Saccharomyces cerevisiae S288C: one gene and its partners. The protein of the gene in region 2 interacts with the protein of the main gene of each other region in a biochemical or structural test. Each region holds a gene or a part of one and is shown on either strand. Other genes may lie near its edges. The genes, in order: STE2, ROD1, CNA1 and YPK1.

The links.
Region 1: the proteins of ROD1 (region 2) and STE2 form a complex in vitro, tested with the Saccharomyces cerevisiae proteins (one study listed by BioGRID).
Region 3: the proteins of ROD1 (region 2) and CNA1 form a complex in vitro, tested with the Saccharomyces cerevisiae proteins (2 studies listed by BioGRID, with this or other methods).
Region 4: of the proteins of ROD1 (region 2) and YPK1, one has a biochemical effect on the other in vitro, tested with the Saccharomyces cerevisiae proteins (2 studies listed by BioGRID).

The regions. Positions count from the first base shown.
Region 1 is NC_001138.5:80,835-84,388, reverse strand, and holds STE2 (alpha-factor pheromone receptor STE2), read right to left. Parts: upstream 1,810-3,554; coding exon 514-1,809; downstream 1-513. Other genes in the region: BST1 (Bst1p), read left to right, coding at 1-244; GTPase-activating protein GYP8, read left to right, coding at 2,477-3,554. UniProt on the Saccharomyces cerevisiae protein: Fungal class D1 G-protein-coupled receptor that acts as an alpha-factor pheromone receptor performing pheromone-dependent signal transduction involved in cellular conjugation, mating projection assembly, and in cell fusion.
Region 2 is NC_001147.6:362,476-367,463, reverse strand, and holds ROD1 (Rod1p), read right to left. Parts: upstream 3,096-4,988; coding exon 582-3,095; downstream 1-581. Other genes in the region: PET127 (Pet127p), read right to left, coding at 3,650-4,988. UniProt on the Saccharomyces cerevisiae protein: Mediates resistance to o-dinitrobenzene, calcium and zinc.
Region 3 is NC_001144.5:1,003,847-1,007,700, forward strand, and holds CNA1 (calcineurin catalytic subunit A), read right to left. Parts: upstream 2,163-3,854; coding exon 501-2,162; downstream 1-500. Other genes in the region: IMP dehydrogenase IMD3, read left to right, coding at 1-282; TSR2 (Tsr2p), read left to right, coding at 2,532-3,149; ECM30 (Ecm30p), read right to left, coding at 3,575-3,854. UniProt on the Saccharomyces cerevisiae protein: Calcium-dependent, calmodulin-stimulated protein phosphatase. This subunit may have a role in the calmodulin activation of calcineurin.
Region 4 is NC_001143.9:203,906-208,336, reverse strand, and holds YPK1 (serine/threonine protein kinase YPK1), read right to left. Parts: upstream 2,631-4,431; coding exon 588-2,630; downstream 1-587. Other genes in the region: RRN3 (rDNA-binding RNA polymerase I transcriptional factor), read right to left, coding at 1-90; phosphoglucomutase PGM1, read right to left, coding at 3,084-4,431. UniProt on the Saccharomyces cerevisiae protein: Plays an essential role in the proliferation of yeast cells. Involved in a signaling pathway, required for optimal cell wall integrity, that acts in parallel with the PKC1-SLT2-dependent pathway.

The DNA of each region.
Region 1 (3,554 bases), on a different chromosome or scaffold from region 2:
TTCATTTAGATCCCATCACAATATACTAGCAGTGGCACCAATTATTTTTTTGGTTGGAAATAATTCTATTTTCAAAATGCCAAACAGCGTACCTTTAGACACGTGGGATGGTAAAGTTACCATCATTTTATTTGTGTACTTAACCGTTTTCAGTTTCATTTATGGAATAAGAAATCTGTACTGGATACACCACTTGGTGAACATAATATGTGCCTGGTTGCTATTTTTCGAAACAATACATTAGAACTACAACCCAGTAAAAAAAGATTAACTGTATATATTGCCTGAGAGTTCTAGATCATGGCAAGAAAAAAGCTTGAACTCGTAAAAGCAAAGGTGGTTTCTACCACTACTTACGAGATGTTTATTATGTAAAGGAGTTTAAATATTATCAAATAAGAAAGATACCATTTTTTTTTATAGAGAATGTGGTGCATCTGATGAGCACCTGAATCTAGTAGTAACCTTATACCGAAGGTCACGAAATTACTTTTTCAAAGCCGTAAATTTTGATCATAAATTATTATTATCTTCAGTCCAGAACTTTCTGGCTTCCTCATCAGCTGCCGTATCGGGAGTGTACATGTCGACGGGTTCAACTTCTCCCTCTTTGTAACTTGCATCAGCAAACGGTCCTATCCTAGTATTTTTTGAACTCGTAGGTGTGGGCAACTGATAAAACTGATTTTTCTCTATATCATCTGCAGTCTCAGAAACAAAAGTTCTTTCCGAATGTTTATCCGATGTTGTTTCCTTCCTTCTAGGATATAGGTCATATAATCTACTTCTGAGACTGCTTTTAGCATCGTTGTTGATACTATCAGTTTGAAAGCTAGACAGCGTGCCTGGATAAAACCTATCTGTGGATGTTGTAAAGTCTGAAGTAATTGTGTTTGTTTTGGATGCATTATTAGCAGCCGTGGCCCACATTGATGATAATGGTAAAGACAATACAGCAAGTAATGTTGCAACAGTAGTCAAGACATCTGTTCCCTGGTTTGGTTTCAAACTGTATGCGAGGATGAATATTATCGATGGAACCAACAAAGATTGACATGACATTATGAGTAAAATATGGAAACTATCGAACTGCTTGAGACCAAGGAATCTTCTTGATCTAATAGCTAAAATCAATTTAACTACCAGGACAAATGACATAAAGTTTATTGAGGATGCAAGTAAAATTGTGGATGCATTGAAGTATTTATCTTGGGTGGCACTAACATCATTATAAGTCACAATCATACCTTTAACAGCGCTTACAAAATACATGGTAACTGTAGCAATCCCTAAAGTGAAAGATATCGACGTCAGCATCAAACCTATCCTTTTGAAGTTGTCGCCTGTGAAAATAACTTTTATCTGAAACACCAGTGAAGTCTCAATAGAAGCCACAAGAAGGACTTGAATTATATTTGTAGCACCATAAACATGAACGTCACCTCTACTGATGAACTGAGGAAATCCGGTGAGAGCGTAAGTCACTGAAGAGTAATTAGACAGTAAATATTTAAAATAGAGTGCAGAATGCAAAATGATTAAAAACAATGAAACTTGGTTGATAATGAAAATCGGCGTTTTTCTGCTTCTCGATGTCATCCACATGACAATCAAAGTCAAAGCAGCTGCACCACATCTGACACCAAACATAATGGCCTGAGTAACAGTACTGTTAACTAAACCTTGCAACTCATCGAAAGTGATGGTAGATCCATTCCCATATATGGAAGTGTAGTTAATGGTGCTTTGACCAGGATTATACGTTGGATCATAAAATAGATTGCTCAATGAAGGAGCCGCATCAGACATTTTTGATTCTTGGATATGGTTCTTAACGGTGCATTTTTAAGTAACCAATTATAATTATAGCCAGAGCAGGTGAAAAGAAAAGGTATCGTATTGCTTTGAAGTCAAATAAGATACTAATAGCACTCCTTAAATAGTATTCCACCCACAGAAAAAAATCTTGAATATGTAGGAAAGCTTTTTTCTTCATATGTGTTTCATCATGTACTTACCCAATTAGGAAATTTACATGGTTGAAAAAACTTCAATCTGCGACTTGCCAGGCACAGGTCCTAAGCAGTATGGACGTTGGCCTGCTTAAATTCTTAGCGGATACTATTGTTTCATTGCAAAGCAGGATACTTCTTCTCGTTTATACTAGCCTGTCTTAATGCACGAGACATTTACCCACAGAGCAAGACGTATATTGACGGATTGCAACACCTATTCGAGCACTACAGCGTGTGACAATGCATTTTGGCAGGCATTGGATAACATATCCGGACTATTCTACAGTTCGTTCTATGCTCTTATCTTGAATCTTTGGTGTATTAAAAAGCTTATTGAGGTTTCATAGCTAAATTTTTCCTTTTTTCTCTCTGGGAAGGGAAGATTATCTTGAATTGGCAAAGTAAAGAAATAAAGAGAAAATTTAGCAAATGACATAGAACAAGCCAATTAACAAAATACGATGCCATTAAGGTCATTATTTCATACTAATCAGAGTAGCCACGACAAAGACGCGTTGACAAGGGGAGGTTATAACGCATATCTGGAATCACTTTCTCGTTGTGACAGTGGAAAGGCAGAAGAACAAAAAGGAAAAGTTATATCAAAGTTATTAGAGAAAAAAGATGTCCGAGCTTTGAGGTACATAGGTTTAGGGCCTCTGGGGTTTGTAAACAACTCATTAAGAAAAGATTGTTGGTATGAATTATTGGCGTCCCAGTTGCTTATTGATGATGCAACAGAGTACATTACACCAGTGGAAAAACATAAAGATGAAGGTCAGGTGATATTGGATGCAGAAAGGTCTTTTGGTGGAATTGTCGACAAAAACTTGAAACTGCAATTGAGAAAACTACTGGTGGAGTTAATTACTCGGGTATTGAGAAAGTACCCAACGTTGAACTATTACCAAGGTTATCATGATATTGTGTCTGTTTTCATCATGTGTTTTAGTTGGAATGTCACAAAAGAGAACGGACTGGAACTAGAAAATCTCTCATTGCAAGAAGAAATTGATATGGAAAGGCTGTTTTATTGCATCGAAGCATTTACCCTATTATATCTGAGGGATTTCATGATGAACTCACTAGATTTTTCATTTGAGCAATTGAGAGTAATCTCTTCATTGATAAAGGAATCAAACATGAAATTCTATAATCTATTCAAATTTGACGAAAATGAGCCCCTTTTCGCTATTGGGTCAATATTGACAATCTTTGCACATAATTTGAAACCTATAGATAGCGGTGACAACAATCTTCATAAAATTCTTTTCCAGATATTTGACATGACAATATCGATGCAATCTATGCGTTTACCTTTGATCATATACAAGAACCTGCTATTGCAAAATGCGTCTGAAATTTCGAAGCAAATAGAAGCTAATTCTGATTTCTTCGAGAACGATTTTGACCTGCGCCATGGTGCTATACAAACAGTTTTACAGAAAAAACTGTATGATGAGGCGCTTTGGGAAGAAGTCTTGCAAATAACTAGAAAAGATGCGACTACTGCCAGCAAGAAGGCTTTGAAACGGGTGA
Region 2 (4,988 bases):
GATCTTCTGAAGCTCATTGTATTCTCATTATATTCTCTCAAAAATACGTTCGTATAACTGATTAATCCTGTTTTTCTAATCACTATTTTAATGTTTCAATTGAGGGATTTTGCCTTCATACAATTGTTGAGAGAAATTTTCCAACAAGTATGGGAAATATGAGCAATTCTTATCTTTTAAAAACAAGAACTGGTCCGATATTATTCACCTCAAACATATTGGACGAGATCATTTTTAAAACGTTAGGGGTGGGGAGGATATCAATAAGTTTTCATAATTATGTTAACCTTCAAGCCATAAAACCGAGTAAGACCACTTAACAAAATCTATGAGAAGCCTTGCGGCAGAATCTGACAACTTCAGTGAAATTTTTTTGTGATTATAGAAGCATAAACTACAACGCCGAATTGTTTTACTTTATAGCAATTATGAGGTAGTATTATAACATTATATTATCATTTTTCAAGTGGTATGAGGTATGAAAGTACTCTATCAAAGTATATATGCTTAACTGTACAAACGTGTATGAAGTATTGCTCATATCTTTTTGTCGAAATTTCGAAGACAAAAAATAAAGCAGTCTATGAGCGATCCCGTTTTGTGAACATCTCCATTAAATTAGCAAATGAACCTGTTCCTTGTCTTAATGGTGAGTTGCTATTGTTGCTCCGAACTGACGATGAGCGTGACCTTCGATTGTGGGTTGCGCTCGTATAGTTTTCCTCTTCTCTTGGCTTATTAGCGTCAGATGTAGAATCAGTTTTATCAAAATGTGAATTGTTCTTGGAACTTGAATTACTAGTGAAAGATGTTGTCATATTAAACGGAAAATGTCTGCTTCCTGTGCTGCTTTTTGCTGAAGTGAAAGAGAGATTTAGATTAAATGAACTATCTGTGTTGTTTCTCGCCAACTGCTGCAATGATACTGAGGATCCGCTATTATTCCTTGGTAATGGAGAGTGGGATAAATGTGTCCTACTAGACGATCTTTTCAGATTATTGGAACTCTTGCTCGAGCCTGGAAGTGGCAACAAAGAGGATGTAGACTTGTGATGAAGAATTTGTGGCCTTTCTAGTTCAATTTTTTTATTTTCTTGAACTCCAAGTTCTTCCTCGGGATAAGCCGGTGGAAGATCCTCACCAATCATATCAGATTTCATTGCTTTATCATACGAGGGAACTCTGCTTAAATCTGTCAGTTCCAAATCGTTCTTCAGCGATGTAGAAGATGTTTGGCGACTATATGAGTTACGCCTAGATAAATGTGCAAAGCTTGGTGTCAGTGAAGGACTATTCAATCCAGCATTAATGATGTTATTATATCTATTTGCAGAAGGAGAGTTATTGTTCCAATTTTCACTAATTGTTAGATTACTATTAACCAGATTCAGGTTACTATTGTTAACGCTGTCCCCTCGAGAGTCACAATTATTTAGGCTATCATCTTCAATCTTGATTTGAGGATTTGGTGCCAAAATAGGATTATTGCTATTGTTACTATCCGATATATATAGGTTTTGAATATTGTGAATTGCCTGTGATTCGACGGCACTTGAAGAAGCTGATGCTGAAGTTTCGTCTTCATTAGTTACCTCGCCATACACTCGATCGTAAACGTGATTGCCGTAGTTGGGAGGTACCATCAAACTAGTTACCATAGTTGTGTCAGCGACTGCGGTAGCCTCTGCATCAGTACTATTGATATTTAAAGTAGAGCCAGATACTATGGTTGGCATTGAAGACAATTGTAACGCAGAAGCAGATCTTTGAAAAATCACATCTTCTTCACTATCGTCTACAAAGTTTTTGCTGCTGAATGAATTATCGTGCTGACTTGTTACTTGATATGAGGGTCCAAACGTTTTGAGCGTTCTTTCAATAACATCGGAGGTCTTTACATTGACTGGAACAAACGGTGAAATGAATAATTGGACAGGCAGTGCCGCACGCAATTCTGAAATATGACCGTCCGGATTGAGTAAACTTATAGTGAACTTGATCTTATGACGGACTTTGATATTAGATAAAATGCGACAGTCTTGGGAGCATTTAGTCAGGCTTGCAGGTATGTTTAATAAAGCTCGAACTTCCCATTTATCTTGAAATTCCCCTGTGTCCGTATCAACCCCTTCGTCGGCAGCTTCATTTAGGCTCCTCTTCTTCTTTATTTGGGCAACGTGCTTCAGGGGATCTTTTAGTTTTAATTTAGCCACCATTCTTTCTTGGTTGATAACCCCTCCATAGCTACCACAATACTGGGAATTTTCCACCAAACTGATCCTAACAGGGCCTAACTTCAATCCTTTTAATATAGGAACAATTAAAATATTGATCATGGTGGAAGAGCCAATGGCAATTGCCTTAGTTGGAATGGAGATCGTATAATCGACTTTTTCAGGCCATGAGTTATCCACTGATACTGTTTCAGATAACTCGACTGCATCTATAGCTAACGTTCGAATAACTCTTAGATGTTTTTTACAGATCAAGTCGGGCTGCTTAGGTCTCTCGATAGTAGCTTCCAGAGCATAAGTGACGGCAGCATTTGGTAGGCCTTCTACACTTTCCACTAATGACCCAGGAATAATCGCGCTGAAAGGGAATTCGTAGTTACCTTTTACTAAGGTGTGATAGTTTTTGCTTGCGCTTGTCTGCCCATTACTTGATATCAATGATGCAGTAGAAAGGGCTCTTTTTCTCTTTGGCAATGCTGCTAAATTTGTTGAGGATTTACTAGAAATTGTTATTTTACCATTATTATGATTATCGTACAAGTTTTGGAAATAACTTTTTATATTAAAATCATCCCAAAAATGAGAATATATGTTTCTCTCAAACTTTGAGTATCGCTTATGCGGCCCATGAACAGTTTGTAAAACCGTTGGAATATTTAGTCTCAACCTACCAAAAAGTCTCAAAGCCAAAGACTTGATTTGAATTGGCTCAGTAATTGACAATACTATAGTTCCAGATAGTAGGACAGAAGATGCCTCATCAGGGGGGCCTTTTATCAGTAAAACATCATTGTCCAAATTTCTAAGTCTGATGTCAAATAGTAATGGCTCTTTTGAAGGTCGAGATGATGATGAAAACATTATTACTTATGGAGGAAGAGAAGCGAATGGTGTGATGAAATCGCGTTGATTTCTGTATGGTTGTTAATTAGTTTTAGATCTGCATCTTTTTGACGTCTATATTTGAATAGGGGACCCCTGTTCTGTTTTTTTCGCTTAATAAAAAAACGCTGAAAATTGCAAGAGCCCAGCCATACAAAATAATTTATAAAAACTGTGAACAGGAAGCTTCTCAGTTTTTATCGGAGAACCCATCTCTGGGGTTAGACATTCATCCGCATTAAAACTCCTATTTTTACTCGTAGTTTTCGGTCTTCAAAATAAAGCAGATTCCTTAAAGTTAGATGCTTTTATTCAACTTAATCAGTAATGTAACATAATATGTACCAAGGGACTCGACTCTTTTTGACCCATTGTTTAATTAATATGTGTTATAATTACAAGAATAATGCATTGTATGGACATATCTAAAAATACATAGAATAATTACATAAGGTCGAAAGTTGTGAGTGAATACATTAAAGTAGTAAAACTTCACCTATAACATTAGATTGCCCAACGCTGACTACTGTCTTCTAGATATGGAACTTGTTACTCCTTTCTAATAGTTTTCTTCGAAGGGCACCTTTTTTAGCATATGCGCGCAGTTTAGTTTGCAGTCGGGTAGGGCCAAAATTAGAATATCTTTTGTTACTTCCATTATCGCGGTGATCATTGCGGGCTTGTAGTGATTTGATTCGATTCATAATTTCATCCTTTTTAGACATATCAGGTTCCTGACGTGTGATTACTTGATTTTTCAATGCGTTTAATTTAACATCCAAATATTTAAAGTATAGTTTTCGTAAAATTTGTTTGTCATTGATATCTGTAAAAGTAGAGTTCACCTCCCAAGTGGAAACATCGGAAGCGTGGAAAAAGTTTGGAGTCTGTGTAGATGGTATATCTTTGTACCAGTCTCGTTTCATCATGTCAGAAATATATTTACGGGATTCGGTGTCGAGAATATCGTTCTTTTTTAAAGCAAAATCAGGTAGATGTGTAGTATTAGGATGATGGTGATAGAAATGCTTGACATTTACTTTAAATCCAACTAAGGAATTCAGGTGTTCCTCCAAAAGATTTTCGTTATATGAGCGGAGGTTTAGTAGCTCCTCTGTTAATTGTTCGTTCGAAGTATCCTTTACCAATAAAGATTTATCCTCGTACTCAGGTGACAACGGCAGGGCTACAATATTTAGCACCGGTTCGTTAAAGAAGCGGCCACTTTTGGATCGTTTTTCTTCAACTTCGGTTTTAAGCATTATTTTGCATTTTTCCCATTTCGTATTACTTGAGTTAAGTAACTGCTCAACGTGTTTCAAAATATTACTGAACAGATTCATAGACATCTTAAATTCCCTATTAGCCACCAAGCAAGCAATTTTCCTATCGTCCCTGTCATAGTGTAGAATGTAGTCCTCCTCACCATATATCCCTTTTGTGATATCATTCTTCTCCTTTAACAAACTGTCGAATTTGCTGTTATACGAAGAATGGATTATATAATCTAATTCGTCCAAAGGTAGATATTGGAATCCAAACATCTTAGAAATATTGTGGTATGCAACGAAAATACCGTCCATTTTGCCAATTCTAGCTTGCAAAGAATACTTTAGAAGGGCAGACCTGATTAGTTCAAAATATTCTCTTTCCAAAGACTCAAATTCCCCATAAACTTTATCTATCTCATATCCAGTTTGGTTGTTATTACTCTCTACATGTGATAAATCGTATCTTATGGCAGAAACTGCTCTTGTCTTCAGATCAAATACACCCGTTCCAGGTAGATTTGGGTCGTACGCGTCCAATTGAGATCTCACAATGAATTCATCTATACTAGAATAGTGATAATTTTCACTTTTTGAACTATTC
Region 3 (3,854 bases), on a different chromosome or scaffold from region 2:
GGTAATGCATCTACCTCCCGTTACTTTTCCGAATCAGACAGTGTTTTGGTCGCACAAGGTGTCTCCGGTGCTGTCGTTGACAAAGGTTCTATCAAGAAATTTATTCCATATTTGTACAACGGTTTACAACATTCTTGTCAAGACATTGGTTACAAGTCCCTAACTTTATTAAAGGAAAATGTCCAAAGCGGTAAAGTTAGATTTGAATTTAGAACCGCTTCTGCTCAACTAGAAGGTGGTGTTCATAACTTACATTCTTACGAAAAGCGTTTACATAACTAATTGGTAACTAGGGTTCATTAATAATAAAATAAAACTAAAAAATATGTGTTTATATTTATTCTGCTCGCAGTTAAGTATGGAAATCAAGAAATAGACTGGAAATGATCTATATTTTCTTCGTATTTTGTTAGTTCATATTATCTCTTGCGGATCGTGACAGTAGCACAAGAATTCGATGTTGCATCTCATAGGAATAAAAAAGAATAAAATGAGATTTATCACAGTTGTGGCTTTTTCTCCGCTCCCTTTAATATTTTTTCGTAGTATTTAATCTTCTCTTGTTCAACCTCCGATAAAGATGGTGGTAATTTTTCATTAATAAGGTCTTCCTTTCTAGCCTTTTCAAAAGTGCTTAGCGTTTCATTCAAACCTTCAGTCCCACGAGCTAGAGCACCACGAGGTAAGACACCGGCATTCATAGTTTTCAAATATTCCACTTTTTCGCTCTCTTCTCTTAGCACCGAAAACATTCTTGAAACTTTAGCAATAGCTAATATCTTATTTCTCAAAGCCTTTCTTCGGGTTTCATCTTCTAATATCGCTGATGACGCCTTTTCATCAGATGGGGTGCCGGTCTCCTTAGTTGCGTTTGCTCTTGCCTTTACAGTCTCCTCCGCAGCTTTGGGTTCCGATTCTGGGTCAAGTTCCTGCTCACTACATATGTTTAATATAGACACTAACATGCTAGTAACTTTTTCGCCAACAAAAGGTAGTGACCAGGTGAAAACATCCATAAAATCAGGCAACCAGTAAGGGTGCGGAGACATGTGAAACTGCCTGATGTTCATGACGTTTTCTTCATATTTTAACACAGCAGCTTTATTATGATATGTGTCCAGGTAGTTTGGCGCACTGAACATGGTTATTAAGCTCGGGAAGCCTGTTACTTTATTGTTTTTATACATTCTGTACCCAGCATCCTGTGCTTCGTGTGCTCTAATAATAGATAACAAACCATTTGCCTTCAAAAACTTGCATGATGCTTTAAAAGTGAAGGCGAAAGAGCAACCCCTCAAACTGTTAGGTACGAATTCATCCTCGCTCTGATCAAATTCGCTACCATCTCTTGCATCATCATAATTTTCGACAGGATCGGCCCATAGTAGGTCACACATGAGACCACGAGATGGGATTTCTCGAAATCTATTAATTTTATTAACATCCTCTACTGATTTTAACTCTGGAGAGATACCACCATGCACACAAAAATATTGTCCGTTCATTAAAGCTGCTAATGGTAAGACATTGAATGATCTGCAGCAAGCATCGTAAACTTCCATATCGTATTTGTGCAACATCTCATTCTTAAAAGTAAAATAAGAGGTCAAGTGCTTACACTCATGGTTACCTCTTAGCATCCAAAATCTCCCTAAATTATTCAACTTCAAGGAGTACAAATAAATCAGACACTCAAAAGAGAATGCACCTCTATCAACATAATCCCCCAAGAATAAATAGTCGATTTCGGCGGGGTCACCGCCAACTTCAAACAGTTTCAATAAATCATAATACTGCCCGTGAATATCACCACATATAGTAATTGGCGCTTTGAGTTTTAGTAGATTGGGTTCTTTACTCAATGCTACAGTTGACATATTTAAGATTTTTATGGCCTGTTCCTTAGAAAGTCGACCCTCATGAAAGAAATGCTCTCTTAAAAAGGAATGATTAGGTAATCCCGTCTTGGAGTCGAATACTTCCTCATCACTTGGTATCTTTCCTGTTATGGCAGGTACAGAAGCGATAGGTCGGTCCTTAGTAGAAATTACTTTACCGTTTTCTAATTCGTATTTTGTTAAATCTTTTTTCCGGTCAACCTTTATGTAAGAGTCATTAGGTTTAATGATTTTGATGCGTGAAGAATTCAAGTCTTTCGACATTGGCGTTGAGAGTGTTTTATGGCAGCTGAGCTAATACGTCAAAAAAAAAAGAATCTAAAAAAACTTTTCTTTGAATAATACCTTTAATAAAGCAAATATTAAAGGCTTTGCTTCGTTCTTTTATAATAATGCCTCTTGATTCAAAAACATTAAAGGATTTATACATTTTTCCCTTTTGTTTCCCAGTAGTACGTTCTTTTTCAGAATTGGAAAATTCATGTTTCAAGAGGCGATGACATGAAAAATTTTGAAATAGATATAGATGAATATCAAAATGATTCAAACAGTTTGTATTTATTGCAACAGGAAGAAAGGTGGAGTCCAAAGAAATCTGCGAAAAATTTTTATAGTGATAATCCTTACGGAACAATGAGCACACAATATATTGATGAGACAGCATTTGTTCAGGCTGAGCAAGGTAAAACCAATCTAATGTTCTCTGACGAAAAGCAACAGGCACGTTTTGAGCTCGGTGTTTCCATGGTTATTTATAAGTGGGATGCGTTGGATGTTGCCGTAGAAAACAGTTGGGGTGGTCCAGACTCAGCTGAGAAGAGAGACTGGATTACAGGGATTGTAGTAGACCTTTTCAAAAATGAAAAAGTTGTTGACGCCGCTTTAATCGAAGAAACGTTACTTTATGCAATGATAGATGAATTTGAAACTAATGTTGAAGACGACTCGGCTTTACCGATTGCCGTGGAGGTCATCAACATATATAACGACTGTTTCAATTTAAATTATAATAAGGTAGAAAAATTGTATTTGGAATGGCAAGAAAAGCAGAGAACTAAAAAATCAAAAAGAGTTGTGCATATTGAGGGTGATGATGATGAAGACGATGAAGATGTAGAGGACTATGATGACGAAGATGAAGATGAAGAGATGGACGAGGTTGTACCTGACTTAGTATCGTCTAAACCTGAACCAATTGTTGACGAAGACGGTTTTGAATTGGTTCAACCAAAAGGAAGAAGAAAGCACTAGTATCTTCAAAATCTGTATATTATAATTGATAGTGCGCTGCTTTTTTGCACTTCCAGTAAGAAATAGCAACAAAATTAGATAAATCTCGGTGGAGTTATCCAAAATATGTAATATATATCAAGAAAGTTACGTATTAAACATTGGACTTCTAGAGGAGATCTTCAATATAGATTTAAAAGGTGGGCAATGCATCGCTACGTGAAGATTTTTACTTTTCTTCAACATGTGTATTTTTTATGTTTCATATTTTTATATTTTGTGTTTGCTAAGGTCTAATCGTTCAGCTAAGTTAAAGCTAAGTATAAGAAGCAAAAAATACTAAATTATACTAAATTATAAATTTTCGTACATAAATAATCATGAGGTAGATGTTTAAATATGTAAATAGTTTCTTTTTTCTTCTTTGTGATTGTCAAAATTTGTGTCTATCTATACAACCCTCTAGAGGTATATCTTAACTGTGTATTATCATCAAATTCGTTATTATTATAATTGTCATTATCGCTATTAATGAATTTAAATTTCTTGAAAAAAGAAGATGTCATTTCCAGAAATGAAAAAGATTCTTTTCTGAAGTTTGCGATCTTAAATAGTCGGATGTCGGTTCCAACCCAAATGTTATTTTCAATTATGTTGTTTACAACGCCGGGACTAATTTCTTCTTCAAACATATAACTATTCAAATTATCTGTAATGATTGACGTG
Region 4 (4,431 bases), on a different chromosome or scaffold from region 2:
ATCGGAAAACTGGACCTTCCTTTTTTTTTGATCTATAGGAGCTACAAAGTCCTGGGGTGGTCGTTTACTTGTATTCTCAAAAGCCATCATCTTGTCAGCTGTTGTCTTGCACAAAAGTTATTTCTTTACCAGACAATGTATCCGTTCGTGGTTAAGGTAAGAATTTTAACAATGGGGTCTTGGGTTAATTTAAAGTCGAACGCTGATTAAAACAACCTTTATATTTTTAAAAGGAGAAGCTACTGCAAACGAGAGATGCTCATCAAAATATCTTTTATACAAGGAGAAAATTTTCAACACCTTTTTTTTTTTTTATTTTCTGCCGCCCCATCGACACGGATCTCGGAAGGGTAAGAGAGGAAATCCTTTATCTAATCAGAATAAGCTGAGGCAATACGCTATGACCATGAGACACAAGCCACACATGTGTGAAGTATTGCCCACGTTCGAAATATAAATCCTAGAACTTAAATTGCGCCATTGGTACAGTTGCTTCATCTTGAACACAGTAAGTAACGGAAAAGAAAACCTTTCTTTTTATATAAAGTATGTCATGAGTAAACTAGTTGATAATGTATTCACTAAGTCTATCTAATGCTTCTACCTTGCACCATTGAGCTACCTAGCTGTTCATTTCCAACGTATGTCCAGCCACCAAATTGCTTTTGAACACTTTCACTCAAGTATTCATCTACCACACTATCAATTGGCTTCTCCCTAGTGAATTCCTCATCGAAATTACTAGTATCCATGGAATTACTAACAGCTGGTTTATATGGTGGAATATAACCCTTCATCAACAGGCGCTTCCATGATAATTGGCTGAAAAAAGGATGGTTCCGAATTTCGTCGGCACCATTGTAGCCCAATCTTCTTGTCGGATCACGGCTCAATAATCCAATCAATAGATCCTTTGCATCTCTATCAAATCCATCTGGGAAAACTAGTGGCTCCTGTAGAATCTTCTTATACATTTTTGGAACATCTTCATCATAATAAGGAGGAAGACCTGTGAGCATCTCGTATAACAAGACTCCCAATGTCCACCAATCTACTGCCTTTGTATAGCCTAAACCTAGCAATAGTTCTGGTGCCAAGTATTCTGGGGTCCCACAAAAAGTATCTGTCTTATCATCATCCTTCATATTCAATTTGCATAGCCCGAAATCACAAAGGGCAATGTGGCCTTGATAATCCAATAAAATATTCTCTGGTTTCAAATCACGATAGACAACATCTAGTTTATGCAAGTTGTCTAGCGCACATAACAATTCTGCGGTATAAAATCTGGCACGTGATAAATCAAACCTTCCTTCCTTTTGTAGATGATAAAACAACTCACCACCATTGATAAACGCTAAAACAAAGTATAATTTTTCCGGTGATTGGAAAGAAAACTTCAAAGGTACAATAAATGGACAATCAACACGTGCTAGAACGGTTCTTTCTGCCAAAGTATGCGTGACTTCGGATTTAGAGACAATGTATGATTTTCTGATTGCCTTCAAAGCGTATACTTTTTGTGTATCTTTCTTTCTGACTTGCATCACTTTACCAAACGAACCCTTACCGATAACTTTCAAAAGATCGAAATCATCGATGGACAAAGGTTTATTTCTGGAAGGTTTATAATCAATACTAATATTGATCTTACCCAAGCCATTATCCAATGTGATCCAGTGGTGATTATATAGTCTAATACTAGCTGCAGAGTCAAAACTTAAGTTGATGGGCAAATGGAAAGAATCTAAATGTATATCTTGATTGGAATTTATTTTATCAAAAATGGTCTGTAGCTTCTCGTCTTGCAAACCCATCTCCTGTTGCCATGTCTTCGAGGGCAAAAGAATGGACGGAATTCTTGCAAATACATCAATCTTTAAATAAGGTAATTTCCTTGTCACATCAAAGGTAGATATCTTATTGAAACCAGGTTTAGCGATCGTACCATACTCTGCTTCAATAGTTGCAACTGTATTATCAAATTCAATGGTGAAATATAGTAAGGGATTTAAGGTCGAAGACCCTGGTAACATGATAGTAGATGGGATGAACTTTGCTGCTGACTCGCTAGAGATCAAATCTTCATCAGCTGGACCTTGGTTCTTTATTTGAACACGGGACAGTTGTGCAATTAAAGCATCTACTTCTTTACTAATCTCCTTATGTGGCGGTGGAACACCCGAGGCCAATAGTTTATTCAATATTTGCTCGCTTGAGGTAATCGGAAAAGGTAAAATAAAGTCATCACCATTATATACTTTGATAGTCATCATTCCTGAACTTGAGGTGGCATCATTGGGTGTCCCTGTAGAACCAATATTTGCTGTTTCATCTAAATTTTGAGATGAGTTCGTGTTTTCTGAATTACCACCATTTGAATCTCGTACAGTAGAGGTCGATGAGGATGCATCGTATGAAACACGAACCGGGACCACTGATGAATTTGATGGATTTATCGTGCCCTTCCTGTCTAAAGATGAACGAGTAATTGAAGCATCATGTTCCCCCGCAGTTGCTTGATTATTCTGCTGTTCTTCCTTTTTAGAGGAGTGAAAAAACCCACTATGTTTGGCTTCTTTTTCTTCTTTAGATTTTCCAAACTTAAACTTTGACTTCCAAGAATACATTTTCAGGAACTGTATTAATGTTTGTTGATATGAGAGGAACTTTGAAGTGTCAATTTCCCGCTGTATACAAAGAAATTGTAGAGTAATCTATATCAAAGAATATAAAGGCTTTGAAATTTAACCAAACACAAACAAACCAATTCTAAAAAGTATGGGAGCGAAAAATAACTCAACTGTTGTTGGTATGACGATAGTGTTGATTACCGTTGGCTCGTTCGGGATAAGCATTTTTTAAGCCTTCCAATAGGGGCATGTTTTGATCTTGTTTTCCTGTAGCGCGGCTCTGCCGCGAAGAAAGTCGCGAGTAACGAAAAACAAAAACAATGTTGTATTATGAAGCTAATTGATAAGTCAATCAGCAAAAAATAGATATACTACATATATCCTCTACATATAAATTAAGATCAGTTAAAACATCTTTGGAAAATTAGTGCTTGTTCAAGACCAATAATTCTATGTGCGGACTGTTGGTTCGTCTGTTCCTAAAATTTCTTTAAATCTTAAGAATTTTACAATGGAGTTGATGACGGGTTTCAAGAAGACGTCAGCTGTTTGGCCATAGTTCTCCTTTTTATCAGTATACTTTTCTACGTATAATCTTATTGTTGCACCAGAACTGCCTGTGCCGGATAACCTCAAAACAAATTTAGTCCCATTCGAAAACTTTACGAAAAGGCCTTGATTTTCAGAGATGGAGCCATCTAGATCTCTATACGAAAAATCACCACAATCGATAACGGTTAAAGACTCATCAGCTGGGAAGTGGGAGCCACAAACGTTTGGCCTTGATACAAATTCACTCAAAAGAGCTACAACTTTTTCGGCCTGCTCGCATTCGATATGTTCGTAATCGTATCTTGTGAAGAAAGTACGGCCATACTCGTTCCAAAATTCGTCCTGAATAGTTTTGATCGAAGCTTCCTTTTCAGGGTTACGCCTATGGTAGATAGCCAAGATATTTAACCAAGCAATAATGGCCCATAGACCGTCCTTTTCTCTGATATGATTGGAACCTGTACCGAAGGATTCTTCACCACAGATTGATAGCTTTTTAGCATCAAATAAGGCACAGAAGAATTTCCAGCCGGTTGGAACTTCGTAACATCTTAATCCCTTTTTTGCTGCAACACGATCAATGGCTGAGGATGTAGGAAATGAACGTGCCAAGCCATAAATACCTTGTTTGGCGAAGTATGGAATTTCGGGTGCATATTCGGCAATAATGGCAACAGAATCACCTGGCGAAACGAAAGCAGGGCCATAACCGTAAATCATATTCCTATCACCATCACCATCGGAGGCTGCTCCAAAGGCAATTTTTTCGCGGTCAACCCTGTCAACAAGAGTTCGTGCATAGGTTAGATTCGGATCGGGATGTAAACCGCCGAAATCAGGTAAAGGGTGCCAATTTTGAAGAACTTCCTCTGCCGGTAAACCAAATTCATCAACAAATATAGCCTTACCATATGGTCCTGTAATACCATTTAAGGAGTCAAACAACAACTTCCACCCTTTGTCTTTGCGCTGTTTCGCTAAGAAGCTTTTAATTAAGTCAAAATCAAAAATTTCCTTCAGAAATTGAACGTATGCTTTGGCAGGATCAATTATGTCCACTAACAATGGGCCATATTTTTGGTTTTTACCAAGCTTGTTCAAATTCAACTTGGGGAAGTTCTTTATAATTTTATAGTGAGTTAATTTTTTAGACGCTTCCCAGATAGCGTTAGTGACACTCTCTGGAGCTGGCCCACCATTAGGTAAATTATACTTGATACCTAAATCATTCTCTGGACCGCCTGGG